2 linked regions of the Drosophila melanogaster genome follow. Each later gene encodes a partner of the first gene's protein in a complex. Each region holds a gene or a part of one and is shown in the gene's direction. Other genes may lie near its edges.

The links.
Region 2: kto (region 1) and CycC share a complex: the UniProt entries of both Drosophila melanogaster proteins name them as parts of the cdk8 module of the Mediator complex.

What each region holds. Positions count from the first base shown.
Region 1 is NT_037436.4:19,824,452-19,841,443, forward strand, and holds the start of kto (kohtalo), read left to right. Parts: upstream 1-12,162; 5' UTR 12,163-12,224; coding exon 12,225-12,837; intron 12,838-12,898; coding exon 12,899-15,566; intron 15,567-15,640; coding exon 15,641-16,992. Other genes in the region: Deaf1 (deformed epidermal autoregulatory factor-1), read left to right, coding at 3,866-4,494, 4,569-4,739; trc (tricornered), read right to left, coding at 7,625-7,719, 7,777-8,273, 8,319-8,425, 8,483-8,692, 9,159-9,641; CG32221 (uncharacterized protein), read left to right, coding at 10,350-10,839, 10,903-11,594, 11,670-11,786. UniProt on the Drosophila melanogaster protein: Component of the Mediator complex, a coactivator involved in regulated gene transcription of nearly all RNA polymerase II-dependent genes.
Region 2 is NT_033777.3:14,876,264-14,892,235, reverse strand, and holds CycC (cyclin C), read left to right. Parts: upstream 1-2,030; 5' UTR 2,031-2,178; coding exon 2,179-2,766; intron 2,767-2,826; coding exon 2,827-3,042; 3' UTR 3,043-3,232; downstream 3,233-15,972. Other genes in the region: UQCR-C1 (Ubiquinol-cytochrome c reductase core protein 1), read right to left, coding at 1-285, 360-451, 513-883, 946-1,274, 1,334-1,540, 1,810-1,878; CG33332 (uncharacterized protein), read right to left, coding at 3,277-3,441, 3,502-4,386; CG33331 (uncharacterized protein), read right to left, coding at 4,626-5,654; Rrp6, read left to right, coding at 6,294-6,401, 6,476-6,657, 6,770-8,174, 8,413-9,339, 9,432-9,512; CG3631 (uncharacterized protein), read right to left, coding at 10,176-10,383, 10,440-10,640, 10,701-11,278, 11,442-11,720. UniProt on the Drosophila melanogaster protein: Component of the Mediator complex, a coactivator involved in regulated gene transcription of nearly all RNA polymerase II-dependent genes.

The sequences.
Region 1 (16,992 bases):
TTGGCCTATGCCTTGAATGTTTATTTTATTGGTTATTTGAATATTAGAAAATTTGTCAGAGTTCTCTTTGAGAATAGAGATATCTGCACCTGTATCAAGTAGAAAAACTAGTTTTACGCCTGTTTTGGCATGAATGAATGTAGAAAATATGTTGAGATTATAATTGATGGTGTATACTCTACGATCTTCTTCTACTGAGTACCTAAAGGCTGTTGCGAGTTTCCCTGTTCTTGGATTACTCGTACATTGGCATTGTTTCTGTTGTAGTTGTTCTGACTGTTGTTACGGCCTCTGTTTCCATTATAACGGCCTCTGTTATAGCCATTATAACGGTTATTATTTCCATTATAGCGGTTTTGATAACCGTTATTCTGGTAACCGTTATTTTGGTAACCGTTATTTTGGTAACCGTTATGGTAGTTGCCTCTAATACTATTGTTATTAAAGCCTCTACCGCGGTTACTACCTCTATTGGCATTTCCGTATCCTCTATTGGGTCTGTTACCTCTAAAGTACATCACTTTATTGATGTCACCGGTAACTCTTGTACTCGTTCTTATGTATGCGCTTATCGCTGCATCCATAGTGGTGCAAGTCCCTGCTTCCAGTACTGTTTTGATACTTTCGTGCTCAGCACGATGTATCATGGTTTCAATTGCCTCTTTGGTGCTTAGACCAGTGGCATGTTCTAGAGGTATACCCTCATCGATATAGGAAGCTTCTAAAAGTTTTCTCAGGCTATCAACTTCAGCGGTAAATTGCGTTGCAGTTTTACCTCTCTGCTGAACTGTTGCTAGCTTTGCTTTGACATTACTGGATGTCTCACCGACAACTACTTTCTGCAATTTGTTTATAATTGCTGGAATTGTCGTTTCATTGTCAACTGAGTTCAAAATTGTGCCAACTATTTTTGACTTAATGACCTCAACTGCAATGTCTTCAAATGGTCCCTTAGCTAGGTCTACCAATTTGATTGCCTTAATGAATCTTTGTAAATGGATCTTTTGCCCATCAAATTCTGGCACTGTGCAGGCGACTTCCCTAATGTAAGACCTAATGGCAGCTGCTTCTTCTGCCATGGTTAAGTTATTTTCGGAGTCGGCTGCGTTATTTGTTTTATCGTCGTTTTTCAGCATTAATTTTGCTGGTATAGTTAGATCGTGAAGATCTTCCTCTTTAATGTCTTCCTTGACTATAGTCCTATCTTCCTCGTCAGAGTTAGTGCTGTCTTCATTCAAATTTATTCTTAGTGGGGTGTTTACTATGGTTGGAATTTCTATCTGGAGACTGAATTTATTTTTTATAAATATTAATTTTTCTCTTAATGTCACCAGTAGGTTCAAAGCCTTAGCACACTGTTTGCGTTCCAAATTCTTTCTATTTTGTTGGATCAACTCTCTGATTTCATTATAACTATTTACCAAGACTTGGGCATTCCTATTGATTGTTACAGCTTGTGTTGATCTGTTTTGCGTTAAGCACTTATAGGATTTTCTGAAATTTTCATTTTGATCTTTTATCTGATCAACAAGCTTTTCCCAGTCCATGCTGTGGTATACTCATAACTTCAAATTTATTCATTTGTATATATTTTTTTTTTTTTAATGTAGATAATTTCAATATTACGTTTTATATTTTTTTTTTATTTATTATTTTTTTTTTTCATATAATTTTTCTCATATTTTCATTCATAATTGACTTTATTAAAGATCTTCCTTAAATATTATCTATACCGTTAGCAGTGCTACGGTATCGTTTCTTAAGACACTTGTTATGCAGTTTGTATATTTTTATTAATGCATTGGATACCATAATTAATGCAATTACAATTAGTATTATGGTTATCCAGAACAAGTCTGCATTTTGGACTTCTACTTTATTTATTACATTGGCTGTAGAGTCCACAGTTTTAGTGTCTATTAGACCCATTTTGGGTATACTAATTTTATATTTTGGAGAATAGAATAGAAAATTTCCTTTGTATATACTTTTATTTTCAGTTTTACTTATTTCATTTGTCTCTATAGACATTTATGTTTGGAATTATCTATTTATAAAATCTTTCAATGTTCGCAAGAGTAAAAAAAAAATTGTATTTTACATTGTTGCCTGCCTGATTCTAGCTATGGCTTCACGGGCCATATTGGGTTAACAGGGCATAATAGTATATGCTCCGTTTTACAATATTTCTTACAATTTTTCTTATCTATATATATTTTATATTTACTTTATATTTATATATATTTATTATTATATTCTGCTGTTGATGATGCTCATCAGGTGTCAGCTGGGCGTCGCCGGGGGTGGCACGCTGACACTCCCTCGCTGCTGTCTATTTGTTGGGTGTCAGCTGGGCGTCGCCGGGGGTGGCACGCTGACACTCCCTCGCTGCTGTCTATTTCTTCGCCGCTGAAGACGTCGATGGTCGCTCACAAGTCCCCAGGCAGTGGGGACTCCAGATTCCTTCGCAGCCAGGGGGGCAGGACTTCTTTGGTTTTGTTAATGCTGGTGCTGGTGCTGGACATGCCTGGTATTTTGGAACTTCATTAATTGTGGGTATATTTTTAATATTATCTGAGTGAGTTTTCTCGAGCTTATGGGTCTTTAATTCTTGCTGATATTGCAACAAGTGGTCTAGCTCTGCATGTAGCTTTAGAGCTTTCGACCAAACCGGTGGCGTTTGCTGACCGTATATTAGCCACCTTACGTGGGCTATACGTTTATTCAGCTTAGTTTTCAAACCGCCACGGTGTTTGCCCATACTCAATAGAACTCTACTCACTCAGATTTTTCCTTGGTTTTTGCAGTTCCATTTAATTAGTCCAGTCTTCTTCCAGTCCAGTGTTCCTTTGTTCCTTTGTTTTCACCAGCTTTGGTCAATTCGTCCAGCGTTGGACGACTGTCACGGTCGCCATGTAATGATGAACTCCAATTAAGAACACAAGTCCGTTTTAAGTTGAAGGCAGCCGTCGGGCTGACATATATTTATTCAATTTCTTCTTTTGATTTTAGAGTAGGCAGAAATGGTTCTGTCAGCTCAACGTCTACAGAGTCTCTCCGATTTTACAGTTTTTTATATATTTGGACTTAGGCTAATCCGCGTAGCTGCGCTGCCGGGTACGCCAGCAGCGGAGCGGCGTTCTTATGTATATCTTATATATCTAGGCTTATCGGGAGAGCGAGATATGTATGTACGTATGTAATATGTATTTGGTCGGCGTGTGAATGCTGACCATGCACTTATACTTTTTGCCTTCGAGTGGGTGATCATGTTACATCCGCCCTGGCCTAACTGCGTGCATAAACATAAACATAAACATAGCAACAAAGTGCTGCCATAAGTTAATATGCTATTTTATTTAATTGTTCTTAATATTGCATAGGCACATACTACAGTCAGCTCTCTAAAAGAGGTTTTTGAAATGCAATATTGCATAATAAATATAGATTAATAAGAAAGAGCGTAGTAACTAGCAATAGAAAAAATAGTTAAAAATTTGTTGCGCTTGCTGATATGCAAACATATTGACAGATGTACTCTCGCCGGTTAATTAAAAGCAATTTAAAATTGATTGCTCTTGACAACTAATAATGCTACTTTTTAAGTCATTCGGACAGGACATTCGGTTCTGATGTCATTTTGATTTGATTTTTTATTAGCAACTCATTACTTTGATCGGCCCTAATTCGTAATAGTTTGATAACTAATTAATAACTAAGGAAAGCAAATAGTCCTTTCTACAATAGTTAACTTCTATGTGAAGCCCTTGTTATGTCTTCTCCAGTTGTGCCGAGCCCTATGTGCACCCAACTGCACCCAACTACAACCATTTGTTTAACCCCCTTACACGCTCATCTTGTTTAGCTTCCGGCCCTGTCCGTCTCTTTACACCGTACAAGCGGCGGAAGCGGAATCAAACTGATCTCGATATGGAGTCTGGACCCAAACGCAAGCGTAACACCCATCATAGTAACAACAACAACAGTAACACCAATAACAACAACACGAGCGGGAGCGGCGCCAACAACTGTGTGGATGTAACTGCAGCTGTGGCTGCTGCAACAGCCAGCGTGGTGGACGAGAACAACATGTTCCTGTCGGAAGAGAACATCACGTCCAAGGATGAGCCGTGGGCAGCGCTCAACGACAGCCTGGACACCTCCACCGAGCTGGTCGATCAGTCGCAGATGGGCAACACGTACGAACGGGAAACGTTTGTGGTGAACATCAACGATGGATCCTCCATCGCCGTCCTGGACACCAGCCAGTCGATGAAGAACATCGAGCACGTGTACTGCACCATGGTCAAGGCCACCAATGACTTCAAACGCATGCTTAACGACATGAAGCAGTCCTTCGAGCGTCGCATCGAGGTTCTGCAAAAGGAGCGCGATGCAGCGGTCAGCGCGATGCGTGTCCAAGTGCACGCGGACATCGATGATCCAAATATTTCAGGCTCCCTGCACGGCAACGAGATCATTTCGGCTAAGAAGGTATGTTTTGATACTACAGATAGGGCTAATTATCCAATCGATATCTTACTTATCTTTTTAATATTTTCAAATAGTGCGCCAACTGTAACCGCGAAGCATTGGCCGAGTGCTCACTGTGCCGAAAGACGCCGTACTGCTCGGAGTTCTGCCAGCGGAAGGATTGGAATGCTCACCAGGTGGAGTGCACAAGGAATCCACAAACGACAACGCAGCAGGTCATGCTGTTGATCGACGATCAGTCCTAAGCAACGTAACGAAATGTACATACAAATTTTACTACTAATTAATACGATTATAGGAAGTCGACCCCCCCTCCCCCAAGTCGCTAAAGTCCTTGCAGTTCGGTTCAGGTCAAACACCTGTAGTCCACTCCCACTCCCTTCCCCCTCGACCCCTCTCTTCCCCCAAAGTTCCCATTAGAAGGCCTGCATCCTCTTAGACGTATGTCCTACATTAATGTAATTCTTAACGTACATATAACTATATAAATATATATACATTTTACTATTGAACGTAGGGCAAGCCAGCAAAGAAAAAAAAAATAACAAAAAACAAGCGAAACGAAAGTAAAATTAATTAAAAAAAGAGAAAATGTAGCAAGCGAAAATCAAAGCAAGTGCAAAGGCGTAGAGAATTAAGCTACGATATGAAAGTAAAAAGTGAAGAAAAACTAAACCGATTACTTGTAATTCAATTTAAATTAAATTAAATTAATTAATAATAGTTGCAAGCGCATAGCATAACTAACGAGAGACCCCAAGCATCCAGCCACCCCGCTCCCCGCACCCTACCCCATTCAAAAACACACAATCGACAGTGAAAAACAACTAGATAAAACCTAAGCGATTATAAAAAATTTCTGAAATTACCATACATATTCGTCGATGTATACACTTTTCATTAGACTGTAAGCGCATAGTTAAACTTTTAACATTATACCATTATAATTTTATGGATACTACTGCCCGTTACAAGCATCCAATAAAGATTTCAAACAAACAAGCTAAATAAATCCACAGTACGAAGTAAACGCAATCCGAATTCCAATTTCAATTCAAATTTCAATTACAAACATACATACATATGCATATATGCCCGCACAGTAATCGAACCGTAATGTAAACAAACATATAGCTGAAAATGGAAAATTGAAAATGGACAACTTACAGTTTGTTTGTTAGCTGTGTGTAAATGTGTCTCGTAGGGTTTTCCCCGTTCTCCCGTTTGTAAAGTTTTGCCTACGCCCCCCTCAGCTGATGTAACAATTCTTATAGTCTGTAGTCTCCATATGCTAATACATTTATATATGTAGTATATATAATAAACGACTAGCTATATATTCCGATTCACGCACACACGCGCCACGTACACAGCGAGAAACCACGATCGACACACATACACACATTAAATCGCAGATGGAAAACAAGTTACTTTCGATTTTCGAGCCTAACCGCCTGACCAATTCAATTTGAAATCTTTATTTTCATGTCTGTAATGGTTTCGGATGTTGCACTCAATTAAAGCCAAGCCACATTGTTCTGATACAGATACAGAAACTGCAGAACTGCAGAAAATGAAATCAACGCCCTCTCATCAACACACAAAACACAAATCAAAAATCGAACGCGAGTGCAGATAGGGAAATATCGAGAGAAGTGCAGATGAAAAGATCGACAAAATATATACATACATTTAAATGTACAAAGCCTAGCATTTGTGTCGTGTTACTTTTTGGTTTCCTCATGCTTACTTATTTCGAAAATACAATACAATACCATTTAGGTTAAAGATGAAGGTTCGTCGTATCCATACCCATTCACATGTTGTTACACTACGGGAAACTCAAAAGCTTAAGGTTTCTTTGAGATAGGTTTCATGATTCAAGTGGAAATAGGGAGATGATTCCAAGGTTGATGTCCACGGTGTATGATTTCATGAACCACATCCACCTCATAGAATGCTTCAAGGATGCTAGCACTCCTGTAAGTAATGCACTGATTGCCCAGATCGAGTCGAATTCAAGTAAAAAGCATGTATTTGTTAGTTATTATGCACATGTTTCATTTATTATTGCATTTCATGTTGCTGTGTGTGTAGCATTATTATCGAATTATCAGTATGCTTACTATTATTGTATTCTATTACCAAAAATAATTTCTTAAAACTTGTTTACTCGTTTAATTTATTTATAGGTATATTATCAATTATTTTAAGTTTGCATTCTGCAACTGCTCGGCGTTGAGTGTTTGCTATGTAATTGGATTTATACTTGCCAGCGGTAACTCGGTAACTTTTTCAATAATTCACTTTTGCTCAAACTACAATTACTTGGAACTAAAAACTCCAGCGGGAAGTAGAATGTTTTTAAATCTATATTCGTGTCCGTGGGCGCGGGTTGTGGTGGGGTGGGATGGGGCAGGTGTACATAGAACGAAACCGATATTTAAACATACTTTTATTTATTCTGCTGTCTAGATTAGCTTTTGTTGCTATTGGCATTAGTAACTAATTTGTGTGATAGATTTTCGGATTCGGTTTTGTGTGTGGGGTTCACTATGTATTAAGACTTTGTTTCATTACAAGTTGATACAAAACATATACGTACAATTAACGTGCCTAAAAGTTATAACATTTTTAATTTGCTAAATAATAAATTTATGGGTATTTCGCTGCTGCCCAATAAGTAAACAATATATATATATATAAAGAATTGCCGAATGGGTCCCTAATATGGGGAACTGGTTTACAAACACAACGTTTAAACGATTAAGATCGGGATTAGGGATTGAACAAAGCCAATGGAAGGACATTTGAGGATTAGTATAGCGTTTAACCTAGCCCGAGGCGCGGGCGACGCTCTAAGACTTTTTTACATACAATACATCGTTTGTTCGCGTTATCATATTCTTCTCTTGTTTGGAATCACAAATGTTAGCTAGTATTTAAATACACATGTAGGTAAGACATTCAAAAAGGAAAATCGGGGATTTCGTTTAGCGTGGAGAATGCTCTTGGTGGTGATGGTGTTAGAGAGACGACGGCTGTGGTGGTGATAAAATGGGTGGCAAAGTGCGGCAACCTTCAAGCTGCTACTGCTACTGCTCCTGCTCCAGTTCCTGCTCTGCTGGATTCACTCCAAATTTCGCACCTCGAATCGTTTGTACGTGTAGTTGATAAAGACCCAGTCCTTCGCAATCTCACCGCCCTGCGGTATGGGCGCCGATGCTGCAATGGATGCACGTTAGTCTGTGTGCTCGTCCCTTTGCTTAAAAATATACTTACGTATCTCCAGCGACACATCGGGAAACTCGTCGAAGTTGGACGTATCGTCGATTGAGCGCACCTCAACGGGTATGGCCGCGGGACGCTCACGTATGTGCTCCCAGTCAACTCCCCGGAAGAACGGCACGGACTTCAGATCCTCCAGACCGCGCTGGGAACCCAGCCGGCGATCGGCCTCGCAGCAGAAGTTGATGATCGTCTCCTTGGCCTCCTCCGATATGGGGATCTCTGGGGGAAATATCAGCGTCTCGCGCCAGTTCATCACCTTGCGGTAGGTGTCCTGGGGATTGTCCGAGCAGAATGGAGGATAGCCCATCAGCATTTCGTACATGATGACTCCCAGGGACCACCAGTCGCAGGCGGGTCCGTAGCCAGTCTGCAGAAATACTTCGGGTGCAATATAGTCCGGCGTTCCCACGGTGCTGTAGGCGAGGGCGCGTCGATTTCGCTTCCACGACTCGGCACGTCGCTTGGAGTCCATCGGACTGCAGGACAAGCTAGTTTATTTAATAAATACAAGCTTAGATTCTTTCACATCTTACCTGGCGCACGTGCCTATAAAATCGGATGGTTTCGCCTGCGACAAGTCCCGATAAAAGTCTGTTCGATGCGACTTCTTTAAGCCAGTGCACAGTCCGAAGTCGGAGAGCTAAAATAATAATAGAGTTTTTAGTGGGCTCATCTCAATTATCTGGATTCCACTTACCTTCAGATGCCCTCGCGCGTCCAGCAGCAAGTTATCGGGCTTGATATCCCTGTGTATGAAACCGAGTTTGTGAATAGAATCGATCGCCAATGCCGTCTCACTGATATAGAACTGTGTGCCCTCCTCGGATAGCGTGTCCTTCTTCATCAAAAGCGTCATCATATCACCACCAGGCAAGAACTCCATTATCAAATATAAATTGACGGGATCCTGTGGAAAGATATTTCAAAAACATTCTCACATTATTACTGAGTAAGAAAATACTTATATATGAATGCAATTGTATTTACATTCATTGTACAATAATTGTAATATGCAAAAATATCTTATTAAACAAATATTTAACGTCAGAGAAATGGCGATTCAGTGTAGGCTGGTTCGCCTGTGTCAAGAACTTTCACCGAGAAGAAGTTGACAAAAGAGAATCGAGAAAAAAACAACAAAGGCGGCCCACGCAGAGAATGAGAGAGGAAGCGAGAGAGCAAGAGAGACGTGACCATATGATTGGCAAAGGCGCTTTTGGCATTTGCCGTTGTATTGGTTTATTGATTTTTTTGTCCGTGTTTTAACACAATTCTTTTGTTATGTGCGCTGCCGCCCGCTCCTTCACCCCATCACCCTTTCTCCCACCCACCCTATATCATTGTTTTTGTTGTAGCTGGCGCTCGTCACTCACCTGGAAACTGTAGTACATCTTCACCACCCACTGATGATCGGCCTCGACCAGGACATCGCGCTCGGCTCGTACGTGTGCCACCTGCTCCTTTTCCAGCATGTCCGCTTTGCGCAGCACCTTCATGGCGTACACATGTCCCGTGTCCTTTTTCTGCACCAAACGCACTTCACCGAACGCGCCGCGTCCGATGACTTTGAGGGCCTCAAAGTCCTCCACACCGAGGCGCAATCGCTTCAGCCGGAGATACTCCGTCTCCTTCTGGGCATGCTGCAGACGCTTCTCCTGGCGCTGCGCCTCCGACAAGCTCTCGTCCTTCAGCTGAGCCTCCAGCTTTGCGAGGCGCTGCTTTCGCTCGCCATACTGCGTCACCAGGTTGCTGTAGTAGTTCTCCAACGTCACCTTGGCCTTGGTGGCCTTGTCCAGTGTGTGGTCGCTGAATCTGATCGAGGCACCGTCCGCGTCCTGCGTTCTGCTGCTCATCATCTAAGCTGGGGTTTTTGTCCTGGTCACCTCGGTCCTATTTGGGGCTTGTGTGTGTGCTCCCTGCGATGTCGGTGCGTGTGCGTGTGTGTGGTGAGGAGTTATGCACTTGCCAATGCACACACACTGCTTTCTTCGCCCGTTTCTTGCCTTTTTCCTCGGTAATTTGTTGAAATTCCTCCCTCTGCTGCTTCTTCTTCAAGAGCCATTCGCATTTTGCATCCCCAACAAAGCAAAGTTGGCTGCGATCCAGTGGGGCTATCGATAGCTAATCGATTGATTTTAGAACTTTAGTGCTTTTGGCTCGCAGATAGTCATGACAATTAAGCTTTCACCGACAATTGTATAAAATTTATGTACTGAAATTACGTTACTTATTACTTACATTGATTTTTTTAATTAAAATTGATTAAATTTAAATTTATTTAAATTTACTTTAAGGTCATGTTATTATTTACTGTAATTCTATTAAGAAACAAAGCTTAAACAATAGTTAAAATATCTTAGCTTTAACCTTTTAGCTTGAATCTTGCCAAAAGACTCTTACTTCGAAAATTGTCATCACTGCCACCAGTCCAATTAGTAAATAAATAGAACTTACCGACTTGGGATAAATTTTTCCATGTCAGGCGTACATAAACCAGTTGCCTTTGCTAATCTGGCCATTTGGCGCCTGTGACGGTCCCGCGCAATGAGCATAGTCAGCTAATAATGGCCCGCATCACCAGTATTCTGGACTTGGACCCCAGTTCTCTGTTGTTCATCTTCAAGCTTCTAAGCTTGGAGGACCAGTTGCACTTGGCGCGATGCTGTCGCATTTTTAGGGATGCCTTTCTTCGCCTGCATCGCCATGATTTCCAGGATGTTGTTGACAAGGATATGAGTATAAGGACTCTGGAGGATTGGCGCACCTTTCTGTGGCTCTGTGGCAGTCGCATCGGTACACTGGAATCCCACTTTGACGATGATCACCCGCTGCAGCTGCTCCCGATGATCAGCAGACACTGCTACCGACTGAAGTCCATCTCTATATACAATGCAACAGTGGCACGGGCGCAACCGTATTTATTGAGGATGAGCTCCCTGGAAAAGGTGCACGTGCGTAACTACAAGAGCACCAGCAAGGATCTAATAAAAGCCATTGGGATACACCTTCCGCGGGTCAACAGTCTGAGCCTGGAGAGCTTTGAACGCAAGGAGTGTAAGAACTATTTAATGTTCACCTTATCACAACAATATTATTTAATTGCTTCTCCCTTCACAGTACAAGAAGTACGTCAGTTTAGCGAGATGCTGGAACTTGGCTTGTACGACGACGTGACCGCCTCGGAATTCGCAACAATTGTGAAACCCATGAGGAAGCTGCGATGCCTTCAGCTGCGCAACGCCAAACGCTTTCTGACTACCAGCAATCTCAGGATGCTGGCCACCAACTGCCGCCACCTGGAGAAGCTGACGTTCAATGACTGCGACGCCGATCTGTTGGTCCTGCCGCAGTTTGTAAACCTCAAGTACCTGCAATTATACTGCTCGGAGGATATGAAAACGCGCCTGTTCAAGGCACTGGCCAAAAGCCAGTGCTCCATTCAGTTGGAATACCTCATCCTGCACCGCAAACGCTGGATTGACGAGGAGCAGGCGCAGTACATCAGTGCTTTGAAGTGTCTCCGGTGGCTGGTCTGCAAGCCTCGTGACGATCTGTGTGTTCACCACTTGGCGAAGTTGAGTCGATTAGAGTGCCTTTCCATACAGTCCGCTCGTGAGATTGGAGAAACGCAGCTCTCCCTTTTGGTGGCCAACAATGAGCGCCTTCGGTATCTGAACATTTGCTATTGCCTGGGCATCACAGACGCCTTCGTCTTGGACACGCTGGCCAGCTTATCGAAACGCTCAGCTCATCAAACCCTAGAGCTATTTGCCGCGGCCACTGACATTAGGCATGACATCATGGAACGGGTGAGTAATATTTAAAGCACATACATATATTCGAAAGTCCTTATGTTAATGTGACACTTTGTGCTTCGTTTGCAGCTACCGCACGAATTTCCCCTGAAAATGCTCTGTTTGAACTTCGAGTGCAGCGATGGAATGACAAGCGGCGGACACTTTTATGCCGATGAGCCGGAATTCGATCGCCAAGCCTTGTGAGGCCTTATTCGTTTAACAACGAATGTTTCTTCAATCATTACCAAAAATACAACGTAAATTATTTAATATTTATACGCAGCTTTATTCGTGATCTTACCACTTTGAGTGGTATTTCTTTTGTTAGTGCACAACGATGTAACTTTTTCACTGCATAATTAAAAAATTACGTCATATTTAAAGTACTGTATCAGGTTGATTGGGGATGTGTGGCTGAACATGATAAGATTACATTTGTAATATTTACAACCATTTAACACTTAGCTTAAATTCGATTGCATCCGCTAGATTGTTCGCGGGATGTTATCGAACTATCGATGGCTCATCGCATTTTTTCGCCCCACCACTGATATTTTGATTTGTTGTTGGGTTGGCGAACAGAGGAAATCGGGAATTCGCTAAGAAAATCTGTTTATAAAACGCAACTAGAGGGCCGCGAAGATGCTGTCCATGCTGCAGGAGAAGCGTCCGCTGAAGCGCACCCGTCTGGGTCCGCCGGACATCTATCCGCAGGACGCGAAGCAGCGAGAGGACGAGCTGACGCCCACGAATGTGAAGCACGGATTCACGACGACGCCACCGCTGTCCGATGAATTCGGTACGGCCCACAACTCGAATGTGAACGCCAGCAAAGTGAGCGCATTCTTTAGCGGCGTCCTGGCCAAGAAGGAGGAGCTGATGACCCTGCCGGACACGGGGCGCAAGAAGCAGCAGATCAACTGCAAGGACAACTTCTGGCCCGTTTCGCCGCGTCGCAAGTGTACGGTGGACGCCTGGTTTAAGGACCTCGCCGGTAACAAACCCCTACTTAGCCTAGCCAAACGGGCTCCATCGTTCAACAAGAAGGAGGAGATCTTCATTACTCTGTGCGAGAACCAGGTGAACATGCAACGCGCCACCTGGTTCATCAAGCTGAGCGCCGCCTATACGCTTAGCTTCACCGAGTCTAAGAACAAAAAGCGATCCATTTACGACCCGGCTGCCGAGTGGACCGGCAACATGATCAAGTTCATGAAAGAGCTGCTTCCCAAGCTCCAAGAGTATTATCAGCAGAGTGAGTACAGTCCTTAAGTTCTATAATCTATCAACTCCCTTATTCAACTTCTTGATTTTAGACCACGACAAGTCCTCTTCGAATGGCACCACTTCCGGAAGCCTGACCGCCGCCGGTAATGGTCCTGCCAGCAATGGCTCCACTGGCACCAGCTCTATTAACTCCGTCACCGGTAGCAGTGCTTCCACGAACGTAATCCCGGTACCCAGCATGGCCAGTCCACTGCCACCGATTCATAGCCCAGCTAATGGCCAACAGGCAGCTCCTGGCGGAGGAGTGAATGCCGGCAGTGTCATGCCGACGACGGGAAGCCTTGGCGGAGTAGTCGGTGGGCCGGGGTCTTCTGTGGTAGGAGGCGCAGCGGGTGCAGGAGCTGCAGTTCCACCAGGCTCTACAATTTCTGGAATTGGAAGCCAGTTCGAAGATAGTCGCAATGCGCTTAAGTATTGGAAATACTGCCACCAATTGAGCAAGTACATGTACGAGGAATCACTTTTGGACCGACAGGAATTTCTAAACTGGATCCTCGACCTTTTGGACAAGATGCGTACGCAGGCAAGCTTCGACGAACCGTTGAAGAAATTGGTGCTCAGCTTTGCCCTTCAGTACATGCACGACTTCGTCCAGTCGGAGCGTCTTTGCAGAAAGATGGCCTACATAGTGTCCAAAAAACTGGCCCAGTTGCTGAACACTGTCGTAGAACAGCAGACCATCAAAGAGTTGGACGAGCCGAAGTTGCAACAAGATCCCTATGAGCTGGCGCTTCAGGAACAAATGAGTTGTCCCCATCATCGGGATATAGTGCTGTATTTAAGCACGATCCTACAGATCATCACAATCGAGTGCCCCACAGCTCTGGTCTGGAGTGGGATAGCAGCTCACCGAGCACCCTCCTCGTTGTTGGGTAGTCCGCTGGACCATTTGCCTTTGGCGCCCTCAGTCTTGCCGATGCCCACACGCTGTCCGCGAACCAATCACGAGATTCGACGTCAATTGCGGGCCGCCGAGTCGGACATCGTATTGCGCACTCAGCATGCAGAGCAGCGCTGGTTTGCAGCCAAGTGGCTGAGTGCCGGCAAGAATCAATACACCAGTGTGCTGGCTACACTGGACCACTTGGACACGCACTGCTTCGATCGCATGGAACACAATAATAGTATCGATACCCTATACGCACAAATATTTCCCAGCCCAACTGTCAGTCGCAGGCGGGAGGAGGATCAGGTGGAACCTCGTCCGCCTTATGAACCCAAACAAGACAAGGACACGGTACGCATTCTGTGCGAGTGGGCTGTGTCGGGGCAGCGTTGGGGAGAACACAGAGCCATGGTGGTGGCCATTCTACTTGACAAGCGCCAGATCGACGTGACAAGCACGCCGGCGGATCAACAATCCAGTGATAAGGATGACAAGGACTCGCTAGCTTCGGGCGCCGGCTTAATTGATGGCCTGCCTGTGTTTCAGCACGTGTTAATGCACTTCCTTGACCACGATGCTCCCGTCCTCGATGAGCACGTGAGCAGTCCACAGCAGCGCACGGAATTTACCAACCTTGTTCAGCTGTTCAGTGCATTGATTCGCCACGATGTCTTTTCGCACAACGCGTACATGCACACTCTAATTTCACGAGGAGATCTGCTCCTGGAGTCGGTGCTGGTGATCAAATCAGGAACAACGGCCACGAAAACATCGCCGCCACCTCCAGCTCCACCACCAACGACGACGCACGGTTTCGATGATGACGGATTCGGCGGGGGCCTGGACTTCAAACACAACGAATTTGATGATTCCAATGTGGACGACGATTTGGACAAACTGGTGCAAAATATTAAGGAGAAAGGACAACAGCACGAAGCTCCAGACAGTCCCAAGATTGGTCCTCCAGGCGATGGAGAAACCAATCCTGGCGGTAGCATATCGCGGCATTACGTGTACACCAAGCACTTCCCCATCCCCCAGGATGATCCCAGCATGAGCAGCTACAGCAGTGAAAGCAACCAGCGATACATCCTGCTCTTCGGAGTCGGCAAAGAGAGGGACGAGAAGAAGCATGCTGTCAAGAAGATGTCTAAGGAAATTGGAAAGCTTTTCACAAAAAAGTTTAGCATAGATGTGGCGGCGGCCGGTCATGTGAAGAAGCACTCGCGCAACGAGTTTAACTTCGAAGCTACCACGTCCAAGTGCCAGCAGATGGCTTATTTCGACCAGCATGTGGTCACAGCCCAATGTGCGGCCAATGTCCTGGAGCAGCTGAACGGATTCGCGTTAGGGAACAACAACTACCTGCCGGTACAGGAGCACGTGGCGTTCCTCTTTGATCTGATGGAGCTGGCTCTTAATATCTACAGTCTTTTGGAACTGTGCGATAGTCTGTTGAAGGAGTTGCCTGAGGTGGAGCACCAGTTGCAGCTAAAGAAGTCAAACCTAGTGCGCAGTTACACCACTTCACTTGCCCTCTACATCGTCAGCATCCTGCGGCGCTACCACAGCTGCCTTCTTCTTTCACCGGAGCAGACGCTGTCTGTTTTTGAGGGAGTCTGTCGTACCATTCGGCACGTATCGAATCCGAGTGAGTGCACTTCGGCGGAGCGCTGCATTATTGCCTACCTGAGCGACCTACACGAGTCGTGTGTTTTGCTCCAGGGAAAGGAACAATCCACGGAGTACTACCAGCAGCTGCAGTGCATCAAGCGGTTCAAGGACATATTCAACACTCCAGAGCAGCTTGAGTGAGTTTAGATCGCAAGTTCTTCCCCAATAATATAATATATAATATTAACAAATATTACCATTTTTTATTTAGCCTACCACCTCAGGGTTACAACCCACTGTTGTTGCAGGAGCTTTTCATGGCCCCTCGACGCGGTGGTAAACTGGATCCTCACTGGCTGGGAACCCTGCACGAGTCGCCGGCCAATGTATACAGTTTCGTGTCTAACGCATTAATAGCCGTCTGCCGAGAGACGGACAACGAGCGGCTGAACGATGTGGCCCTCGCATGTGCCGAACTGACCGCCAGCTGCAACGTCTTGTCTGAGGAGTGGATATACGCACTGCAGAGTCTGTGCAGCGGCAGTAAGAGTCCGCGTTATCCGCACCTGGGCGGACAGGTCGACATTGGACAACTTAAGACTCACAACGCCCTGGCCGTGTTCGTATGCATTCTGGTGGCCAGACATTGCTTCTCACTAGCCGACTTTGTAAGTAAGTTCGCCCTGCCTACATTGGCCCGATCGGTAAGCGCTGGTGGAGCCGAACTGAGTGTAGATGCAGAGGCAGGTGCTCGTCTTACATGTCACTTGGTGCTGAAGCTGTTTAAGACCTTGGAGATTCCTCAACCTGGCATGTACTCGGTAAGCACTTCCCCGAATCCACTGCACGCTGTGGGAAACGACTTTAGCATTCGGCTGAGCTGCGATCGTCATCTTCTGGTGGGTGCCCATAAGACCATTCCCATTGCCGCAGTGCTTGCCGTGCTCAAGGCCATTCTCATTGTTGTGGACAATGCGGCGCTTAAAACACCATTGGCTTCCGGCAGCGGCACCTCCTCTGGCGGATTGGGCGGAGCTTTTGGAAGCGGCAAGCGTAGTGGCTTCAATACACCGGTCCATCCGGGAAGCACACCCAAGAGCAACGAACAACGACCGGCCGATCTCAGCCAGATCCTGGGCACCAGCGATTTACAATTGGGCAGCAGTTTGACAAGCGAACCCGAAGCCCTGCAACAGCCATCGGTCGGAGGAATGGAGCAGATCTCGCTGTTGGAGTTCGCCCAGGCGGTGCTCAAGCAGATCTGCGCCCAGGAACACGTTCTGGAAAGATGCCTAAAGAACGCAGAGCAACTCTGCGACATGATAATCGACGAAATGCTGACCGCGAAACAGGCACAGCGGGTTCTGCACATGATCTGCTATCCGGAGCCTGAGTTTAACATCATCTCCGAACTGGATCAGCGCTCAATGATCGTACGCATACTAGAGAATCTCGGACAGTGGACACTGCGTATCTCGTGGCTGGATCTTCAGCTTATGTACCGCCAATCGCTGAGCAACAACGCGGAGCTTAATGTTTGGCTCGACACAGTGGCACGCGCGGCAATCGACGTCTTCCACATGGAGGAAGTTGTCCTGCCGGGTGCCGTGAAGGCGACCCACA
Region 2 (15,972 bases), on another chromosome or scaffold:
GGGACCCACGGCAGCGACGGCTGGGCACCGATCGTAGATGTACTTCATTGCGACGTCGCGCACATTGCCCACACTCACGGCATCGATGCGCTGCTCCAGCTCGTGCAGCGGGATGCGGCGGTTGTAGCACAGGATCTGGCGGCCAATGTCCTCGCAGATGGGTGTGGTGCCGTCGAGCTGCAGCAGCATGTTGGTCTTCAGAAGGTTCTTGGCGCGCTCGACCTCAGCCTCGGTAACCATGGTGCACAGACGCATCCACTCGGTCTGCACGTTGAAGAGCATATCCTGGGGAAGAGGTTTGTTTACGTAAAATTTGCTTTCTCTCGAGAGTTTTCTGTTGAATCATTAATTCTTCTTACCTCGCACTGCAGAGGGTCGCACACGAAGTAAATGCCCCAGAGTCCGGTGTCCTTGTAGCATGTGTTGAACGATTGGAAGCTGTGGCAAAGGTCTGTAGGGCAATAATAGTTAATAATCTCCATATCCTGGTCGTCTTACTGATGTACACTTACTGTCCTCAGCGCTGGCACGGGCCAGGTTGGAGGCGTTGTTGGCGCCACCGCCTTGGGAACGATCCCAAGCACCCACCAAGGTGTTGGCCACCATCAGGGGGATGTTGTCCTGGTCGGTCCAGCCGCAGCCTTCGACGGCGATGGCGACATGGGCCAGGGGCAGGGAATCGTCGCGCACACGCACCTCGGAGCCGGTGAAGCGGCAGGGAGTCACCTCCGCGGGCAGCACACTGGCCTCCAGGCCACCCAAGCTGCTGCAGGCAAGCTTGACCAGATCATCGTGCTTGACGCCGCCAGCAGCGGCCAGAACGATGCGCGAAGCCTTGTAGTGGGTCTGGATGTAGTCGGTCAGATCGGCCTTGCCAATGGACCTAAATAAATGAAGATTTTAATTAGAGACAGAGCATTTGTTATAAGAGCTGAATATACGTACTGAATGTTCTTGGTGGGTCCCAGGATGGTCTGGCCCAGAGGAGTGCCCTGATAGGCGGTGGCGTGAAGGTGATCGAAGACCACCTCCTGCAGGTTGCTCTCCACCTCCTGCATCTCGCGCAGAATCACCGAACGCTCGCGGGCGATCTCAGCCTCACCCAGCTTGGAGTTCTGGATGATGTCGGCCAGGATCTCGACGGCTTTGGGCACATCCTTGGACAAACACTTGGCGTAGAAGACGGTCTGCTCCCTGGAAGTGTAGGCGTTCAAGTGGGCGCCCAGGTTCTCAACCTCCAGCTCCAAATCCGTTTGCGAGCGCTTGGCGGTACCCTAAAAAGTGGCAGAAACGCATATTATACGCATTTAAAGCATCAAGCTAGTGAGCCAACCTTGAAGGCCATGTGCTCCAGGAAGTGGGCCACTCCGTTGTTCTTCTCGTTCTCGGAGCGCGACCCAGCATCGATCCACAGTCCCACGGTGGCGGTAGAGGCACCGGAATCCTCGCTAGCCACGCGGAGACCGTTGTCCAGCTTGGTCACCTGGGTGGCGGGTATGTTCAGCAGAGTCTTCTGTAGGGTGGCAGCCGACTTGTATCGCTGTAAGTTCGGGAAAATTGGGAAAACTATAGCCCAGAGTTAAGTAAAACACGAACATAACCTCAAAGTGCTTGTAGTGGGTTTTCCAAACAGTTTTCCCAAATATTTGTTTGAAAAACTGGATGGCTCTTGAATAACTGACCAACAAGAGGTTGTTTATCCCTTTTCTCACAAGAATAAACCACAATTGCAACCAAAAACACAATCATTTACAATTACGTAATTTAAATCCTCGGAAGCGTAATCATTGGATGGCTGTCTGGACTTACTTTGATCATGTCAACGCCCCGCATGAAGGAGCGCATATTCTGCGTCACGCCAAGAACTCGCAACGCCATCGTTTTATTAATTCGTTCAATAGCCTATTACTAAAAAATATTTAAGACTTTTTCGTCTGTGGCCGCGGCGCTGATGAAAAATTCACACACACACACCAATGTACTGCGCTGCGCAAAGTTGGCTGCGGCCAGTCAGCTGTTCGTGGAAAATAGCCCTGGTGTGCACACACTGGCTGAAACGGCAACACAATTTTTTCGTTTTTCCTGGTTTTCCGGCTTGCTATTGAAATAAACACCTAATTTGGATAGCTAACACGAAAATATTGGCCGACCTAATCAGCTAGGCCTACTAGTTACGAAATGGCGGGCAATTTTTGGCAGAGTTCGCACTCGCAGCAGTGGATTTTGGACAAACCCGATCTGCTCCGGGAGCGTCAGCACGATTTGTTGGCCCTTAACGAGGATGAATACCAAAAGGTGTTTATTTTCTTCGCAAATGTGATCCAGGTGCTCGGCGAGCAGCTAAAGCTGAGGCAACAGGTCATCGCCACGGCGACGGTTTACTTCAAGAGATTCTATGCGAGGAACTCCCTGAAGAACATCGATCCTCTGCTGCTGGCGCCCACTTGCATCTTGCTGGCCTCGAAGGTGGAGGAGTTCGGTGTCATTTCCAATTCACGACTGATCTCGATCTGCCAGTCGGCCATTAAGACAAAGTTCAGCTATGCGTACGCTCAGGAGTTTCCCTACCGCACCAATCACATCCTGGAGTGCGAGTTTTACCTGCTGGAGAACCTGGATTGCTGCTTGATTGTCTACCAGCCGTACAGACCGCTGCTGCAGCTGGTTCAGGACATGGGCCAGGAGGACCAGTTGCTCACCCTGAGCTGGCGTATCGTAAACGATTCCCTGCGCACCGATGTCTGCCTGCTCTATCCTCCTTACCAGGTTTGTGATCCTGATAATTTCTACAGCTTCCTCACATTTGAAGAACCTATTTTTTTCTAGATCGCTATAGCCTGCCTTCAAATCGCCTGCGTCATCCTGCAAAAGGACGCCACGAAGCAGTGGTTCGCAGAATTGAATGTTGATTTAGACAAGGTCCAGGAGATCGTGCGCGCCATTGTAAATCTGTACGAGTTGTGGAAGGACTGGAAGGAAAAGGACGAGATTCAGATGCTGCTGTCCAAGATTCCGAAACCGAAACCACCGCCTCAGCGTTAGAAGAGCTTCATAATCATTCATCATTAGCTGGTATTGCCCAATTGTGTGTTTGTACTCATATTACCAATGTATTTATGCCAATTAAACGAAAGTTTAAGCTAGGTGACTAAGCAATCAAAAATGTCATTTACAAATTATTTTGCCTTTATAATAATTATTTCTAAATTAAATTACATAATTGCTTAAGATTAACATGCGGTACGGATCGTCTGGATTTTTTATGGTTCATTTAACCTACAGATACTTAGCTTGACCCCTGGAGAACTTGGTGTTCAATATCTTGGCCTTGTCTACAATCTGCTTGGTCTGATTCTTGTCGATCTTGTTAAGTTTCAAGTCCACATCCCTACTAAAAGGTCTTCGTTCTGGCTTGGAACCCGATGCAGCCAGTTCTTTTTCCTTAAATTTATAACAATATTATATCCATATTATGTTTTTAAGAAATATTTTTCCTCGTACCTTTTCTCTCTGCTCTTTCCTAAGCTTTTTTTGATGTAGCTCCACTAGGGACTCCTCTCGCTTGTGCTTCTTTTTGTGCCTCTTGGCCATGCTCTCCTGCTCGTCATCCCGCTGCTGTTCGTACTTGACCTGTGCCATTTGCTCGAGTTCCTTCGAACTGAGCGACTTTGGGCCCGATGCAGCAGCATCCGCTTCACTCTGCGGGGTCTTCGTCCAGGATGATCGATCGCTAAAGTCGGGTCGCTCTTTTCCCTGATAGAAAGTGCGCTTCATATTGCTCAGGGCGGCAAGGCCGCTCTTCAGTCCCACATCTGGCAGCTCAAGCATCCACTCTTCGCGGACATCTTGGTCTGTAGATGTACCCAATCCCCCGCCCTCCAGAGCTGCCAGTTTAAGTGCCAAAGCACGTTCCTCCAGAGCCACTTGACTGGCATTTGGCAGAGGACCAAAGGTGCCAGCTAGGTCATCATCGTCCTCAGCTTCCGCTTCCTTAGTAGGAGACTTTTCCCGGGTCAAATTGCTGGGCAGGACGGGTCCTATCATGGCCTGCGGTTGTGGGGCTGGTTGGCTTTGCTCAGGGAGTTCCGGCTGCTGGGTCTTCCTTAAATGCGGCGGTAAAGCGGGACCAAAGGAATCTTCGTTGTTTGTAGCCACATCTGGCGGAGATGCATTAATTAAATGTGGAGGTTGCGTGTAAGGCACAGGTGGCTCCTCCTCATGCTTGCTGCGTTTCTTCTCCTTGTGGCGACGCTTTTCTTTCTTGTGCTTTTTCGACTTCTTCTTTTTGGACTTGTCCACATCTTTGCTGTGCTTCTTAAGCTTCCGTTTCCTTTGCCTTTCATCGCTGGACGAATTGCTATCACTACTATTGTCGTCGCTGGACATGATCTGCAAATACAATTAATGAAATAATAAGTAAACCAAGATATTCCTGAGGTTATAAAGAGGTCCATTGGATGTGAAAAGAGAGAATCCCCAAGAAAACTCAGGTCTTTGGATTGGGCTAAACATTATATTGCAGTTAACAACTTTAAAGCTTAAAAGTATTTAACAAAATGCAGCTGGATGGGACAACTTAGTCGGTAGAATGATTGGCAGCCAGGGGATTAACCCGAAAAATAAACCTAAACAGCGAATGTCTTTTGAGCCTTGCGATAGCTATACGCCAATGACTTGAGAATGCCAGCACTGGGAATATTTTTGATCGATTGCGTGACACTGCTGCGCCACACAATGTCGTTGACGGATGCCTGCAGCACCTCCGGAAGCTGGGAGGCCATGGATAGGTGATTCACCACCTGGGTGTAGTCGCCACGACAGGCGGCATTTCGCTGCAATCGCTTCTGAAGCTCTCGGGGCAACTGTCGCAGGTGTTGGCATGTAGCCGATGAGGATTTGTCCTGCTCGAAGATTATGGCTGGTTTCCGGCTCCCTGGTTCCTGGCCCTTCATGTTTACCGCCACATAGTCGGAAAGTTGTCCCAGGGAGGGTTGGTATAGGGCGAAGAAGTCATTGATTTGCGGACTAACTATGTTGTGCACTTTCTGTTTGTTTTCCCCGAAAATCATACGGAAATCGCCCTTGTAACTCAGTCCGGCGATGGTGTGGAAAAGTCCGTAGGCAGTGAACTTCTCTGGTAAAAGTAGCAGAGCCACTTGCAGCGCGGATACAAGATTCCTCTCCAGCGCAGCCTTGAGGGGAGGATTATCAGAAGGATTGACCAGATTCGTCACTGGTTTGTGCAGCCTTCCTGCCAAGTAAAGATGCCGCCAGTCAAGCAGATCCTCCAGCAGCTCCTCCTGCGACACCACGCCGTACTTTATGGTAATGCCCACATCTGGCAGAGGCACCAACGTGTTGCAATAGACACCCGCACCCAAACGCTCCTGATACTTGGCCACAAAGTTCGGTCCCAGGTGCCTAAGGGCGGAATAGTGGTCCGGATGACGGTGCAGGTTCTCCGCATGGAAGCCCCTAGCATCACGAACGCAAAAGACCAGATCCACAACGGTTCCCGGCGGAGGACGCAGGTTGTTTCCATTGCCGACTTTTCCATAGCCTTCCTGCTGTTTGACGCCGGATCCGTAGGCGAACATATAGCTGACACTGCCCAGAGGAAACCGCGCCACCGTGCGTCTGTATAGGTCCAGCATCTTGTGCGTGTTTTACCTCCTAATTGGACTAAACTTAGGCTTTATAATTACTTTTTTTTTAGCACGTAACTCCACTTCTTCTGGATGGAGTTGATGCTTCTCGGTCAAGCTCCTCGCTTTTCGCCGGCGCCGGAGGGGTGTACACACTGGCAATCAGCTGGCTGAAAATTTTGTTCAGGGTTTCACTTGAACAATTTAGCGCCCTCTTGAAAAAATAAAAGAAAAGACCAAATATTTAACAAAGAAAATATTTATTCAGTTTAATTTATATTGAAAGGAATATATATTTAGTTCAATATAATAATAACATTTTGCTTTTAAAAAGAATTTGTAAAGTATTGTTCATCAAAGCAGGTTCTGTTTACGGTTTAACATAACGAAATATCACCATTCCAAATTTGGCTAACATTTGTAAAATACACCTTCATATCGATTTAATTCGATTGCGGTCAGCACCGTTTTAGTGCTATATAGTGATCAAATTTCGCCGCCGGTAGTGTTGACAAACTCCAAATTCAAGCTGTTGTTATTCTCAAAAAAGAAGAAGAGAAAACACGCACATTTTCCACAATCTGTAAAACGACAAAAAATTTGTACGAAAATAACACAAGACATTCGACAAGGAAACACTATACAGACATGCCGCGAACCCCGAAAAGAGTTCACCAGGAGGCCAAAGAGGAATCGGCCCAAGCAGACCAGCCGCCAAAGAAATCCGCTTCAGAAGATGTTGAGGCATTCACAAACGTGGGTAGCAATTCAGCCAGCGTACATAAGTATATTTCAATCCAATCCCTACGTGTTCTGCTCTGACATTCCAGAAAGGGTTCAAGAATGCAATCGCCGCCACAAAAGCCGCTAATGCTTTCCCACAAGGAACAGCCCGCGCCCTTTACCTAAGCTATCCAGGCTACGCACGTGTTATGGAAGACCTGACCCAACGGGTGGTGGCGCTCATCGGGAACGTGCTGCACTCCAAGGACATCAAGGGCGACATCAAAAAGTAAGCTTCTAACCATGACATTATTCGAAATGTTGAAAATACAGCACAGCCATTGAAATCAAAGTTGGTACCTGTATCTGTAAATAACAATAGATCTTTATTCTTTAAACAGACGCCAACCGGAAGAGCAGTTTGAGATGGTGCAGGAGTGCAACGACGTACTGTTCGAGCGCATTACGACTAATCTAGACATTAAAGGTGGTCTGCGAAGAAATACACAACAGGTCGTAGAGGCCCAGGTGGACGTGATGAGCAGCTCCACATCCATAGAGCCCGCAGTAGCTTCCCCACAAACCCAAGGGACTCCAAAGGCAGGCAGCTGGAACAGAACGACAGGAACACCCCAACGCAGCATGGTTTCGGCTCGTCTCTTCACCGCCAAGAACATCGTTCGGCCGCAGACGCAATTTAGGGAGCCGGTGGATAACAGTGCCCAGAATCCGTTTGTTCCAAGACTCAAGGAGAAACCTAATTCTCTTAAACCGCTGGCCCTGCTGCCCGAATACGATGATGCCGGCAATGTCCAATCCTATTTGCATCCCTACGAGTTTGAGCTGCTTAAGTTTCAGCCTCCGGAGGAGCAGTTCCAAAAACAAAAGCCAGTGCTTCCAGCTCTGATGGCAGAAACCGAACTAATGGTGGTTGACACGGTGGAAAAACTGAAGCAGGCATTGGAGGAACTGAGACAAGCGCCCCAGATCGCCATAGATGTGGAGCACCACTCGTATCGCACCTTCATGGGCATCACTTGCCTGGTCCAGATGTCTACTCGCAGCAAAGACTATATTTTTGATACCCTGATCCTACGCGATGATATGCATATACTAAATTTGGTACTCACCGATCCCAAGAAGCTGAAGATACTGCACGGCGCCGATTTGGATATTGAGTGGCTTCAGCGGGACTTATCGTTGTATATCGTCAACATGTTCGACACGCATCGGGCTGCCAAAGCCTTGAATATGGCAAGGTTATCGTTGGCATATTTGCTTAAGCACTATCTGGACTTGGATGTGGACAAGAGCCTGCAACTGGCCGATTGGCGGATGAGACCGCTTCCCCAGCAGCTGGTGGACTACGCTCGTCAGGATACCCACTTTTTGATATACGTTTACGGACGGATGACAAACGATCTGCTGCAGCAGCATGCCGAACCAGGTCTGCTGGGCAGTGTCTATCAACAGAGCACGGATGTCTGCAAGAAGCGTTATAATAAGCCTCACATCGGACCAGAATCCCATTTGGATTTAGTAAGAAAAACGAAGCGCTCTTTCGACAACCGGCAACTGTACGCACTTCGCGGAATCTTCGAGTGGCGCGATGCGACGGCGCGGTCAGAGGACGAGAGTTACGGCTATGTGCTGCCCAATCACATGATGCTGCAAATCGCTGAGAGTCTTCCAAGGGAGATGCAGGGAATCCTCGCCTGCTGCAATCCCATTCCGCCGCTGGTGCGCCAACAGCTGCACACGCTTCACCAGATTGTCCTCAAGGCGCGCGATCAGCCGCTGGTCAAAGTGAGTTTCTTGGCGGTTTCAAGCAGCGCTTGCAACTCGATCAACGTTGGCGCCTATACCGATAATTTTTCATTACCAATTAACTGTAACTAACATTGAAATGAAGAACATGTTCTGAATTCACCTTATAGTTCAATTCATTTCACAACCGCAGGTCAACTAAAATAGGTTTAATGTTACCAAGTGTTGGGGTGGTATATCTAATGTTTAATGTTCTTGACTTTACTTACGATTTTAGCCGATCCTGGAAGCCCACAGTAGTACACAGGCAGCGTTGCCTCCGTCGACCAAAGACTTTAGCAGCAAGCTCTACTGTCCGCACGATTTTTCGCAACTGGAGGAGATTCGCGACGACCTGCCAACGCTGTTGAAACGTAATTCAACTACAGGAAAACTGGAGGTGCCCAATAAGGAGGAGGTTGCCAAAGTAGATCCAACCTTAGCGGCACCAGCCATGGCTCTGTTCGAAAAGCAGTCCAAGCCGACACAAGAAGAGGAACAGCGCTGGGCCCATCTTCGCAAGGAGAGCCAGACAATGCGTATGCCCTACAAACGCTATCTCGCCATCCTACCTCTGATGGTGCAGCTGAAGGCCGATCAGTTGGCCAGGGAGCGAAGTGAGTTGCAAAAGAGGCAATTGTGTCCAGCAGCCCCAACTGTGGAGCAAAACATTAAGCTGGAGGCACACGCCATCGGAAAGGAGGATGATGACATGTACTCCGTCCCGCTGAAGGAACAACTGAAGCGCAAGCACCCACAAGCGAACGTGAAAACAGATCCGGAACAGCAGCCGACTGCTAGCAAGCGACCTCGCAAGGACGAGAATTCACAAACCAAACCGCCGGTAAAGATCGAACCAGTCGAAAAAGTTCAGCAGGCTTTAGGCGAAAGCGATGATGAGGTCGTTGAGGTTCCTATCGAAAGGCAAGCCACAGAGCCACCGAAACCATCACCGGCACAGAACAACCGCAAGCAAAAGAAAAATCAGTTCCAGCGCGGATTCAAGGCCAAGAATCGAGGAAACCACCCGCAGAGCTCCAGTCAGCAGGTTCCGCAGCACAAGGGTACAGGCAACTTTGACTACAAGAACGTGGACTTCCGGCAATTCAAGGGAGGAGCGCAAAGAGCCCGGGGCACAGAAATCAAGCAGCAAATTCGCGGCAAGGTGAGTGCTATGAAAAGTATTAACAAGCTGGCTTAGCTTTTACTGAAACGATCTCTTCACTAAACATTTATAACGCTTGTTTTTTTTTTTAGAACCGTCCCAACAATCGGAACAACAAGCAGTTCAACAAGCTTTTTACATTTAGTAATGTAAGAAAAGAGGGCAAAAAATGAACTGCAATCGTGACGAAGTCTGTAAAATATACATAACTGGTATATATGTGAATTCAATAGTAAGAATGCGAGCAACACGAAAACTGATTGATGAAACTGATGAAGAAATAAACAAGTGTTTATTTTTGATTGTTTATAAATTCTTTTCAAGTTACAAAACTATTTTTTCTGAGCTTTGCAATTTTCTAAAATATTACCTATTAAATAACAACCGTAACTATTCATTAAACTAGACTATCGGATATGTTGTTATGGATCGGTTTGTAGTTCAATATTTAAGAACAGTTTTAAGAGATGGTCATTGAAAAAATATGGGAAAACCAAATAATAATTGGGACGTGGGAAATGTCATGGTAATAGGTTTAAATTTCAAACTTATTTCGTCACAACGAATTTTGTATGATTTAATTCCTAATTGGATGGCATCTCAATTTTTCGAAAACTTTTCTAGCATTCAAACCAATACAAGAAAGGACAAAAGAACTTAATTTAAAATAGGAAAAAACCTGTTTCGGGCATTTAAATATTTGGAAGAAATACAGAAGTAAAACATGGACTAAAATAATACGATAATTTCTCTATCTAACTTTAGCTTAAGTAGGATGTGGAAAGTGAGTTCCTAAAGCTCTAGTGCTGGCCATTAGCCCCAATCTTGAGCTGAAACTACAGAGTTTTGAACATTTTGTCGCCCTCGATGTCCATGCAGTGCTCCACAACAGCATAGACCACCAGAAGTCGTCGCTCCACTCCTTTTTTATGCTTATCCGTAATCAGGGGATAGAGAGCATCCTGCTTGGATAGTCGATCGATGATTTCCGTGAGTACGCCGCCGGAAAAGACTTGCAGGCGATCCCACGTGGACTTTCGCAGACTGTAAGGTATAAACGTAAATAGTTATAGGTATTTGGAAATTGGTCGAAGACTTACAGGCAGCATTGGTAGAGTGGCGCCAATATGTCCAAGTGATCCTTGTTCGGGTTTCCGAAGGCTTTTCCATTGTCTATAAGCACCACGCGCTCTTCCCGCGTCTCGTAGTGATGCCGATCTCCATTTTGGATTAGGTAGTCGAAAATAGACGCATCTATAAGGTCCAGCAGGCGGATGGTCTCCATTTTATTTTTCAACGATCTGAAAAATAATATTTTTGATTTAGAAGTTTATAGAGTGAAGTTGAAGTGTGGAACTCACTTGCAATAGGTCATATCGTCCTCCCAGGGCGCCCGCTTGTCATCCTTGTAGGTGCGTTGCCACGGTGATCGCCGCTTAGCCAACGTACCCGGAACAATATATATGAGCACACCTTCAATGTTGTGCCGCTCATCGCCACAAACAGTCTCCTCCTCGTTGCAGTAGTGACACTTCCCGAACAGGCAGTACTTCTCCCTGCCATCCTCGTCCGTTTCGATGTTTATGGTTTGCTGGAGTTCCGGATCGCCTTTGGCATATATCTCCTTCTTCAGGTTCACCACTCGACCCACCACTATGGGCGTCCATCGAAAGTCGAGCACGGCGCCCAGATAGAAGGCATATACTTCCGCCGTGTGGCGATCCTTGCCACTGTATATCATGCCATCGATGACCTCTTCCCGCGGATACCATTGCGGCTTAAAGATCACCTTCTGCTGGTGGGAAAGGCGGACGAGGAGCTTCAGTTGCGTGCCCCGACCCAGGTTGCTCACCCGGGTGATAGGTTCGCGGCGCAGTGTTTCTAAAAGCTGTCCCATCGATGAGTCGTATAAGGGATAGACCTCGTTTTCGTGCGGCCACTGAAAGTCACCGAATGCTTAGTGAATATACTTAGATGCATATTATAATATAGAATGTTTTCCCCTATTAAAAATTCATTTCCTTATTTTGTTTGCATAAGCAGCCAAACATAAATCACGAGCATAGCAATTCTGGCAGACCCACTAAGATCCATCGACTTACCCAGTTCGCAATGTCCCAGAGGACACTGGCGTTCTCGTACGGCGCCGCCTTGTAGTTCTTAAGCAGCTTGTTGCGGAACATGAAGAAGCGGGGATTGCGATTGAGGTAGTTGGGTTTTAGGTGGCGCATCTTGTGCCGTATCATGTTCTCCAGCGCCCGGACGCTGGCCAGATGACCCTCCTCGGCGCTGAGGTAGTACATAAAGTAGAAGTTGGCACCGAGCGCCAAGCCCAACAGGCTGGCCACGATTCCCGCGATGATGACGCTGCGCTTGTTCATCCTGCAGCCTGGGCGGGCGTTAGCCTATTTTTAATATTACGTATACGCAGCGATAGCCGCACTGGCAATTTGCACAATTCTAGCCGAAATGTTGATATGGCCGGGCTGGCACAGTGGCATGCTGCTGCTGTTGTTGCTGCTGTCGCTGCTGTTCCTCTGGCAATTGTTGCAGTTGTTGGTGTTGCACTTGCAATACTTGCTGCACTTCTTGCAATTGTTGCTGCTGCTCTGGCGATTGTTGTTCTTGCTGCGGCTGCCCTTCCTTTTGCTGTACCTATTTTTTTTTTTGGCAGACATCGGCTAACAACTGTTCGCATCAGTCCATTGTTGTGCAAATTAATTGTGGCCGCCTCTGAAAACGTGTAAGCATTAATTAAATTGTCAGCAGTAGAGAAAACGAGTCCTGTTCCGGGTTCTAGTCTATTTTGCTCACCCACCGCAACAAGTTAATCAGATCCGGTTGTTAACACACCTATGTACTGTTGACCCCACTCGAATTCTTGGCAATTCGTGTATCTTAGTATTTCCGTGTGATTCATTCAATTTAGATAATAACCGCGCCGATCAGTTGATAACTTCTAAATGATGGCATAAATCATGATGGTTTGATAATGTCGTTCTCCTAAGTGGTTATCCCATTGATCCTTCTATGCATTCAGATGGCATCCGATTGCAAGCAATCATCTAGAAGATGTGCAAGATACGAGATATGTGTGAAGTGTTCCTGGCACAAATAGCTTTCTATCTGACTTAACCGTTTGTTTACAAGCGTGCAGTTGCCCCATTGGGATTCTTGGCCACAATTGCCCAATAAATCGTGGTCTTCCTCTTCTGCTGCTGCTTTAATTGGTCGCCGTCTTATTTTTGGCCAACATCCACATGAACGAAGACCGCACTGCACGCATTCGGATTCGGAAGACAAAGAATTCTGTTGTCGCACTTAGGTTGCCTCTCCGATTTGGCAGATCGTGTATAAATAGCTTTTGTTTATGTCGGTGAAAATGGGAAAAACGTGCGTTTTTCACCGGCGCAGGAAAATGACAACAAAAGGGAAATCGTGATGTAAACAAAAAGCAGCTGACTTCAGCTGTTGCAGCCCTCGTTGGCCTGCGTGAAACGATCTGGCAACGTCATGCATAACCGCCAAATTCAATTTACATTATATATTCGTGTGATTTCGCCTTATTTTTGGGCTAATCCTCTCAGGTGGCTAAAAGTTAATCAAAAAACTAAGCCAACCCACAAAAGGAACGCAGGCTAAAGGTCAAATGCTCACACACGTTTGAGTTATTATAAAAACCCACACAATTCCAAATTGCACAGATGAGCCCAAGCGTGTACACTGCAAGAAATATTCGATCACGAAAAACTAACAAGTTTAGTATATTTGTTATTAAGAAATGAAATATATAATGCTGAACAGTAAGGAAATTAACTGTTGGCATCGATTTAATGAAATTGATTGGGCAAGACGAAGACTTTATTAGTTTCTTATAAATTATAATCTTTTCAACAATTTTCAAGAGTGCAGAGGTATGTGAAGTTAGCTTAGTTATTTTGTTCCATCGATGGGATAGCCTGGGAGTTTACCTTGCCTGCGGCCTCCCATTGGAGCAGAGCGCATAAACTGCGCCCACTTCTCAGCCCGAATGAAAGGGAAAAAGGAGGCCGAAAGGAGTGAAAGCAGGGAAAGCTGGAAAAGCTGGCAATGGGGAAAATCGAGGAGAGTTATCCCAGGCCACATATGGCGCAAAATAAACCGACAAATGATAACGGCACTCGAGCAAACAACAATAAAGGATGAAAAGCACGAAAATCGAGTAAATGAAAGAAATAATGGTGTCGGGAGTGTACAGCCAGTAACAAAACGCACGAACGTGTAAGGGGGGTTCCTTATCCACCAAACCCCAAGCCCCCCTCCCCACCACTTTTCTGCACACTTTGGGCCCCCGAAAATTCAAATGCCGACAGCATCCGCCGCCACATTTGTTGCTGGCCTGGGAAATCCAAAGGCAGTTGGCGGCCAGAACGCAACACCCTCGACACATAACGACTACAGTTAAATTTAGCCAGCAGTCGCATCACTCGCAGAAATAAAGCTATTGAGTTTTCTAAATTATGTAACAAGCGAATTCAGACGATTTGATTTGAAAAAATTTCCTGAAATGGTTTCGTTTTCCAATGATTTCGGATATTAAATGATATTAAGCAAATACTTATGGAACAATCTATATTGATAACCCTCTTGCCGAAACTACTAACTTCTCATTTGTTTTTAAGCATTGACCAGGAGATTTTTTTCAGTGCATGTAGTGAGTACGCAAGTGCCAGAAAATGATCTGCTTGCTTGTCTTCATTGTTTTGTGGGTTTGCTCGTTGGTTTGTTTGTTTGTTTGCCAGTTCGCGTGGGTTGTGTAATACATATTGAAATAAGCCAATTTCTGAATCTGGTGAGCGGCAAAATGCATAAGTTGCAAAGAAAATGCCAATTCAAGAATTTTTAATCCACTTTCATATTCAAATATCCATTTGATCAATATTAGTGCTATAATATTACGATTTGTAGCAGAAATGTGTATAGTTGATAAGAACTAAACCTATTAATATCGGCTCATTTCTAATTAATATCAATTAGGAATCCCCACTCACAGCCAAATGAAAACGAACAAATAAACAAAACTAGACAATTCAATTAGGGCGAAAATTGTGAAAAGCCAATGGAAGTACACAGTTCTTCGTAATTGGGTCAGATGTCGCTAACGAGTATGACAATTACACAGAATGTTTCCCAAAGCTGACGGCGAACGCCAAGGAATCAATTTCGGCCAAAAGAAGGGGGTTTTCCCCTTGACGTGTGTGCGCGTAATGAGCTTTCAAAATATTTAGCTGAAATTGGAAATTTATTTGGACATACATAAGTACAAGGATATTGGACAGAATCCTTGGGAGTGAATAAATATTTGAGTGTGTAATAAATTTTTCCAGTAAGGAAAGAGTGTATGCATATGAAAGTATCCCTGAGAATCGTTAAAATACCGCGAAATCTGTGCAAACATAATTTAAATTTGTATCTGCACTTATACCTTCCTACTTTGTTAACCCGAAGCGAACACAAGAGGCTGTTAAAAAAAAAAGAAAATCAATTAATTCACATACCAGCACAGATGGGAAAGTTACACACCGCGTCGTGTTAATTGCCCATGTGCCCCAATTCATGTTTTTTTATCACAGCTCTTTTTGTTTGTCTCCGCTGGATGGCGCTTTCCTTAATGGCTGTCGCTCTTATCTGGCCCCTCATGCGTTTTGTAATTAATTGGCAGACATTTTACTGCCGTGCAACGTTGTCATAGGTCGTTCAGCACGTGCTGGCCGAAGGCGGCGCGGGTGGTGGTTTGTGGATGGTGTTTCCTAATGATTAATTACAATTTAATTTGTTTGGCATTTTGCAGCGCTTTAACGGCGACGTTGGACGATGACAAAATGTCCTTTGGGCTCCCGAAGGATTCATTTAAATTTCAACAATTGCTTGCCGCCAAATAAATTTGTCTCTGCGCTCAATTTATTATGTTTGCTGCAAGTTTAATTGAATTTGTTGGCACAATACAACGGGGATCCATCTAATTAATTGTTTTTTGTTTTTCTTCTGTGTTTTGATTCGCATTTATCTTCAATTCGTGCCCTTCTTTGTTTTGCGATTTTGCTGCTTTGCTTTGCTGCCAGAAATATGCAAATTTTGGCTAATAAGTCGCCCTATGAATTATGGGAACACAGAAAGTAATCTCTTTAATTCGAAATTTCTTTTGGCACTTGAAATACATTGATAAGTCATGGTTTCAAGCAAAATCTGTAAAGATTTTCCGTGACAAGTATGTCAGGATATTTTTTACGACTCTTTTCAGCCCTCCGTTTGTGCAAGAAAAGGACGTGAAAAATGGGTAACAATTTTGGGGGCCCAACGTGAAATTAACTCATTCGTTGTGGCCTAGAATAACAAAAGACACTCGCACACACACTGGCACATCCTTTCAGACACACACACTCACACAGTCGTAAATAGACGCTCCTAAGGTCAAGCAACGTCATTTTTCAGACGGCCAAACAAAAAAAAAATTGATCAAGGAAGAAAAAAGGGAGAATAACTCGGCTTCAAGTGCCGCCACATGGAGAATTTAATGTGTCATAGTGTTGGGTACACAAAGTGTACAAGTGTGCGAGTATGTGTGCGGGTAATGTGTGTGAGCCAAAACACATG